Schizosaccharomyces pombe: one gene and its partner. The gene in region 1 interacts genetically with each later gene. Each region holds a gene or a part of one and is shown on either strand. Other genes may lie near its edges.

Region 1 (3,758 bases):
ACGGGTATCGGCTTACTATTCTGACTTTGAACAATCGCCATTGCTTGATGTCCAGATAAAAAGTCTGGATGAACAGTGTTTATATAAGAACCTTCCATGGCAACCATATCCATTACAAGGGTATTAGTGGGTTGCATACATTTTCTAAAGAAACCAATAACAACCTTGTAAAATTCATCTTTCAAAAGAGGATAACGTTTAAATATGGGACGTTGAAGCAATTGATTTAAAATACGGACAAGTTCGTCGTAAATGAGGGAAACACACTTCAAGGAAGGATCCTCCAAACGCTTAATTTGTTGCTTGACAATAACTTCAAATGCAGCAGTACCCATAAATAAACTAGGAGAAGGGCCAGATGAATTGTACAAAATGGTGCGAATATCCGAATCCTTAACTTCATCAAATGGATCAATTGCTTGAATACCATTCGAAAAAATTTCATGAAATACGAACGCAATACGAGCTCCTCCTGAAAGCTCCGTAGCAGAAAGCTCTTCACTACGGCCGTCCACAACTGTGCGATATTCGTTGCAAAAGTCAGTAATTAAATTTAGTACAATACTGGAGTTGTCGCCAACAGGAGTGTCCCCCAAAGAATGTAGTTCGGCCTGATATTTGGCTAAAGCAGCGTTAATACGAACTTTAATTTCGGGAAGGGTGTTCCGAATATGGTGCATCAATATCATATTTAGTTTACGAGCTAGAAATGGAGTACCGCAGTATTGCGCTTTAGAACCATAGGAAGGATGCGTTTCAAAAAAGTTCCTTTCTGCCTCAAGAGCTATACGAATAGACTTCTTCCCTTCGATGTCCTTTTGACCGCGATTTATGACTGGAACATACCCAAGTCTCAATGGAATAACACGTCCAGCTAGAATATCTACCACATCCGTACCTTTATCCATTAAATCAACCTTGGTCAATACACCGATAGTGCGAAGACCTTCGGGGTCAACTTCTCTAGCAAGTTTGAGACCATCTGAGTTTGCCAAATCAGTATTGGCAGCGTTTACAGCCAATATAATGGCATTGTTTTTAGATATATACTTCAAAACCATTTCACGAATTTGCTTTTCAATATCTCGAGGTTGGTCACCAACCGGTACCTTTGTAAGACCAGGTAAATCTACTAGTGTCAGAGTAAGCACATGAGGAGAGTAAATACGAAGATAGATAGGAACCGAAGAAATGCCAACATTCTTTCCTGTTTTTTCTTCTGTTTCTCTAACGATTTCTTCACGAATCTTTTCAAACTCAAAGAACTTTTGTCCGGGAAGATGGAGGAATTCTCCCCATTCAGATGAATTATTCTGGTCCTTTCCATCTGAATCAGTAGTTGTTTCTTCATTTTTTCCACTAGCGCTAGGTCTATTAATTAACTGCAGAACCAAAGGACGCCTTGTTACAATGCCGGTTCCTCTAGGAAGGAAATCTCTCCCAACAATATTTTCTAAAACCGATGATTTACCGCTTGACTGTGACCGTACGACCTAACAATTTATTAGTGAATTTTTCAATCTAAGTTAAAATTCACAACATACAGTAATCTGTGGTAAGTCAATCAAGTTTTGAACGCCAACTGTGGAGAAAGCCTCCTGAAGTTGATTGACAACTTTAATCAATGAGGGATCCATTATCAACTATGGATCCACTAAATAGACAATTTTACGAATGGGCGGTTACAAACCTGATGGTATGTGCTGTGGTAGTGTAGTGTTTACTCGGATATGTCGAATAAAATTAGTACCTCGCTAATCGGATTTCAGTAAGGCTGCTTGAAGGTGGCTTAACAATATCGTGTTGCTAATTGATTTACCAAAAAAGAAACAGTGATGCCCTTGAAACGTTGTTGTCAGACTTTAGACAATAAATCTAATGTTTAACCCTCGATAAGTAATATTAAAGCGATGCATCATTCCATATTTAACGAACGATAATATACTAATATTGCGTTTTACTACGTTGCGTATCACTATATGCCCTGTGTTGGAATAACAGGAAAGATCCTTTTAATGATAATTGCGAAATGCTATTTATCTTAATACAAAGTTACCCATTGATACTTGAGTACTGAAAAAATTAACGGAAACTGCTTTAACCTTGTTTTTCAGTACAATTATAAGCTATTCTGCTGATAAGTAAAAATAGTACCTATTTACGAGAATCTTTATAATATAGTACGCGTTTTGCTGCGTACCGTAATATTGTATATTTCAAATAAAACTACCACCACAGTTTTAAAAATTGGTTACATTACGCGTAGCTGACAGTGCTCAATACGCTAGTTTATTCAAAAACGAGTTTTAGTTCAGTAGGAAAAGGGAATGGACTTTATAGAAACAGCAATTTTTGCTAATTATTCTCTGTTTTGCTGCTGATTAGAAGTCGACAAGTGTGTTCAATTTGCACATGCCATTGGACAAATTTTAGCAATCACCTTAGCGTCAAACAATTTATGCTTTTTGTTGGAAAAAAACCAATAACAATTGGGACCTTTTTAGCAATAAATGGAAGCGAATTTCATAGTGGATAATATCTCTAATTTTTATCAAAGCATATTAATATACCATATGCAAACTTACAAATAGAGAAACATATGAAGTCTTGGTTCTTGACTCCAAAACTAAATAATACTAGCATTCCAAAAGTTAGTTATCAAAATAAATGGTTGTATAACTCGTGGAGTAGTTTGTCAAAATCTTACACATTTTGCTTCGTTTCTTGACACCTCTATCGTATACAAATGCCAAATCAATATCTTTGATATCTTGTAAATAATTTTTTGTCAATAAAATTACAATTTTTACAAATTTGTTACTAAACAGGATGCAAATTTGGGTTAACTATAAAATCCAACTTCTCTGTATTCGGCATACTGTTAGGTTTATACATGAACGGCATACATGTAAAACCCAAATTTTTAAGCAAATGCTACGACGCATAGGTTGCTTCATGCTCTAGCGAGCGTTTAATAAGAGACTGGAAGATTGGTACTCCTCCTAGGATCACTTACTCCATAACCATACCAATGCACTACTTACTCAATGTCTTCAACATAAATTTAGTATACATGTCTTTTTTAAGTCAATAAAACAAAACTGTCTTAATGTGCTCGTTGAAGAAAATTCGACAAATTATTTATTCTTTCAAAGGTTTCGTTAATTAATGTTTCAATCGTTTAAAAGCGGCATACCCTTTATTTATTCTGTGATCCTTAATTAAAAGCAAAGCCTAAAAAGAATTTTTACTTTTTTATTTAAAAATATCACTCGTGAAATGCTATTTGCCAAATTATTGTTAAAACCTGTACAAATTTTGTTTGCTTACGCAAAGGCCAAGAGCAAAGAAATTTCAATTAAAGAGGCTAATCTACTAATATTCCAAGATGAAACTGACAATTTGAGGAAAATTTCTACCCCTAATAAGTTGGCTGTTTCTCTAGCTGGGGGATTGAAAGCACTTCTGAGCTCCAACCAATTGTGCCATGCTTTTCATTACCATAACAAGAAGATCAGACTAGTTGATACATCATTAAATAATTTGCCGGTACCAATCTTACTTCCAAAATTGATTAATTATTTATTAGCTAGAAAATCTCAAAAAAGCGCTGCAGAGTGGGAAGAAATAGAACGTGCACTGTTATCATGCTGCAAAAGGTCCAAAGACCCGTCGATTCTTTTTCCAACTGATGTCCCTTGTTCACTGGATGACGATGTTAGCTTCCTCACATTCAAAGGACATAAAAACCACTTAGA
Region 2 (3,758 bases), on another chromosome or scaffold:
CAGCCGCTTTCAATCGAACTTCCAATTCAGATTCCGGAAGCACTGATTTGGGATCCTCAGCAGCTAATTTTTCGTTCTCACGATCGAATTTCTTTTTTATTTTCTCTTTTTCTAGTTCGTAAAGTGTCTCGTGATGTTTTACGATCCATGAATCGGTAATGCCTTCTTCTTTAGCCAGCAATTCGGGCTTGCTTTTAGCAAGCTTGGGCTCTAAATTCAGCATCATTTTTCGCAGTCTCATCCGCTGGTATTGTAATGCCTTAATCCTTTCGGCAAACCGTTCCATTTGAACATCGTGATTTTTGGTTACGGAACGTTGATGATTACATAAAATTGCAACAGTCCTATTTGCCCTATTATAAAATAGTATTTTGTCTGCAAGGGTGAGGTTCTTAGGCATTTTCTTAAGTTCCTCGGCCATGGTGTATGAAGCATTGTAGGTACGAAATACTTTAGCTGAAAGTCCATCCATAAGGCTAGTCAGATATTTGTTAAGACTGTTTGTACTGAGACGGTCGAAAATTAAATCACCCTCTTTTTTGGGAGGACGTTTAAAGATCTTTAGATTTTTAAAAACTTGGGGATCAACTTCAACCTCGTTGTAGTAACGAATAGAATCTTTACCAAGAAAATCGAAAACGACTGTTCGTGGTGGCTTCAGTGTAACATGTTCATATCGCAGTGAACAACAACCAACAGTATCCGCCTCGTCTTCACCCTTTTCATTTCCTGCTCTTAAAGCAAAAACATCAATTAAATACATGGCAGTTCCTCTTTGACGCTCAACCGTTAACTCACTTTTCAAATCTTTCCGGTAGCCTTTACGGATATCATCAATATAATCCTTAAGCTTTCTTGACTTTTCGTATTTTTTTAAGTCACTCTGTCCTTTTAGAGAACTTCCTGCAGCTAAAAAGACATATTTGACATTATTATTTATATTTTCATGCCAGGTTGCCAACCAGGTCACTGTATTATCATGCTTTACCTCCGCCCATTGATGCCCAGGGAGTGGTTCTGGAACGGGTACACCTTCACCAATATTAATGGTAATTTGTTCAGGATATACTCGACGCTTTAAAGAACCAGTTTTAGGATGACTACCTCGACCACGAAATAACCCTGGAGGTTCAATACGAAAGTTACCAACCTTCTCCTTTCTCCCATCAAGTATGCACCATTTATATTTTTCCTCTTCCTCATCTTTTTTCTGCTTTATTGCCTTCTTCTGTTCCTTCGGCATACTCTTCTTCTCTTCCCTCTTTTGCTCAAAATGGTGAAACATTTGGGTAAAATCACATTTAGAAAACTCTTTAATGTTGTGATTAAAGTTACATTCATCACAGACCTTTAAGAAGTCACGGAAAAAATTATCTTGGAATACAGGATTTTTGGCATGATCGGTTTCAAGCATTGCAGCATAAAAACCAGCAACTTCTTCTGCTTCGGGAGGAAGATTTACGGGGTTTCCATCGTAAATTAGCTTGACGTTCTTTGGTAAAGGTTCATAGGGTGGAGCAAAAATTACACCATTATGCTCCAATGTAGTCCATTTTTGAGTATCATCGATATTTTCTGAAGTCCACCACTTGTAATCCTCATCTTCATCTTCCTCATCGTTTGGTGAGCGATTTTGCGTGGTCGAAGCTCCCGAAGGCAGTTCTGATTTGTAAGGAGTTAAAGATACAGTCGAAACAGCTCTCAATGGAACTGAATCATCTGTGTCACTTTCCTCTTTTTTAACAGCTGACTTCGCGCCATTTTTACTTCCATTCGCTTTAGAAACACGTTTATGCTTCGGTGAGGGCTTTGCAATTTCATTGAAATCCTCTTCCTCTTTTACAACCGCCGTTTTTTTTCCGTTTTTTAAACCACCATTTCCCATTACTTTAGCTCTTTTTTTAGAGCTTGAATTGGACATATTTTTCTTTGAAGAAGCACGTCTCTTTCTAATCGGTATATCATCCTCATCACTCTCGGATTTGGATTTCTTATTCAACGATTCACTAAGAGGATGATTCTAAACAATTAGTCAACAATCTTTAATTATTATGTTGTGAACATACTTCAGAACTATCACTCTCTTCGTCCGACTCCTTCATACTAATCCGTTTAGATGAACCGCGTCTTTGCCTCCTTCTAATGGATAAAGACACGGAATCTGAATCTTTTCAGTTGTTAAAAATTTTGCAAATGTTGTTAAATTACGTGAAACCTTACCAGACGAAGACATTGTGAATTGTTTGCATACATCTATAATACAGTAAAAGAAGGATTAATATTGAGTACGTACACTCGTTGTCATGACAACCAAATATTGACAATTAATGTTTGTAAAAATTAGTAGCTAAATGAGAAACTGGAATTTTCAAATAAAATAAAATTTAATGTTACGAAGCTTGCAGCAAAAAGCTATAAATGTGCATATTTCAAAATAAACCCATTAACAGTACGAGAAAAGTAATCTCTAATAATTTTGAAAGCTTTAACTTTACATTTATTGTAAACAATACCAAAAGCCACTGAATATCCAAAACAAAAAAAAGGTGATTTGATTGATACAATAAGCCATTAGCTGCCAAATATTGGAGGTTTATTATTTAATATGTAAGCTAATATTTTGGCAGTAAATAGCAAATAGCTTAACAGCATATAGGGAAAGCTTTAATGCCACTTCAAATTCATAAACTACTAAGGACTTAATAAAGTGGGTTAATAAAAAAAACAATAATTAAAATTATGGGATTCTCTTAGTGAAAAAAAATGAGATTAAATATCGTCTTTAGCTGTTGAACAAATTAATGAAACTGGGTGATCATCACTCATTCAAAGATTCAATATTTGGAATAAAAGCTCTTATTAGAGAGCTTCCAGTTACCATTCCCGTAGTCATAAATGTGAATTCATATAAATCTTCTTTTTCTTGCAATAAACGAAATGCAGCCAGCTCTGTGTACGTGCAACCACCGATGAAAAAAACTAAAACACGACGTTTACCTGGTACGTTTGTCTTCAAATTTTTAGGCATGACCTTTTCCTGGTCTAATGTCCACTTGTCAACGTAAGTTCCAGGCATATTTTGCAACTTAAGAATTTTTTCTTCATTGTCTCTGCCTTTTAAAATGTCATATGCTATGTGGACTGACAAAGGACCGTACCCGCTGTACGTATAGGCTATATCTTCAGGATTCTGCTCATCAACTTCGTCCTTAACCAAAGGATAAGTGTTTAACCATGTAGAATAAGACAATGATTTTTGAAGTGAAATATTAGTGGATTGCCGGAGGCGCAATAGTCCTGCATCTATCAAGGCTTGGAATGTTAAAAGGTGATAATAACCATATGTTTGAGTGATTTCCCTACGGTAATGATCTATATCTTTTCTTCTCAAACCATTGGTAGTTATACTTGCAAGGCAAAGTACTCGAAAAACCTCTTCAACAGGTGCTTCGGCATAGATAATTTCATCTAATAAATTGAATTGAGTAAAAGAATCGGCATGAGAAACTAGCAAATGCTGAAGTTGTAGTAGCTTTTGAAAGTAATTATTTTTTGTGTGTTGCACCAAAGTTTCAGCGAGACCAGTGTCTATCTAATTAATAAAATTTTTTATGGAAATCAAAAGAAAAAAATACTTACGAATATTTAATGATGTATGCTCCGATTGTAAGGAACCCAGTTTGGAAACGAAGTCTCTAATCTGATTTACAGTTTTGGCTTGACGTCGACCTTCAAAATCGCTGGATAGTTTTCGAGCA

The links. A genetic interaction does not mean that the proteins touch.
Region 2: mutations in vps1 (region 1) and top1 together harm fitness less than expected from each alone (positive genetic interaction), as found in Schizosaccharomyces pombe (one large-scale study listed by BioGRID).

The regions. Positions count from the first base shown.
Region 1 is NC_003424.3:1,997,706-2,001,463, forward strand, and holds the start of vps1 (dynamin family protein Vps1), read right to left. Parts: upstream 1,711-3,758; 5' UTR 1,638-1,710; coding exon 1,545-1,637; exon of another isoform or gene 1,494-1,544; coding exon 1-1,493. Other genes in the region: poly(A) polymerase Cid16, read left to right, coding at 3,280-3,758.
Region 2 is NC_003423.3:2,942,348-2,946,105, forward strand, and holds the start of top1 (DNA topoisomerase I), read right to left. Parts: upstream 2,250-3,758; 5' UTR 2,234-2,249; coding exon 2,221-2,233; exon of another isoform or gene 2,168-2,220; coding exon 2,067-2,167; exon of another isoform or gene 2,021-2,066; coding exon 1-2,020. Other genes in the region: HOPS/CORVET complex subunit, vacuolar sorting protein Vps33, read right to left, coding at 2,819-3,588, 3,640-3,758. UniProt on the Schizosaccharomyces pombe protein: Releases the supercoiling and torsional tension of DNA introduced during the DNA replication and transcription by transiently cleaving and rejoining one strand of the DNA duplex.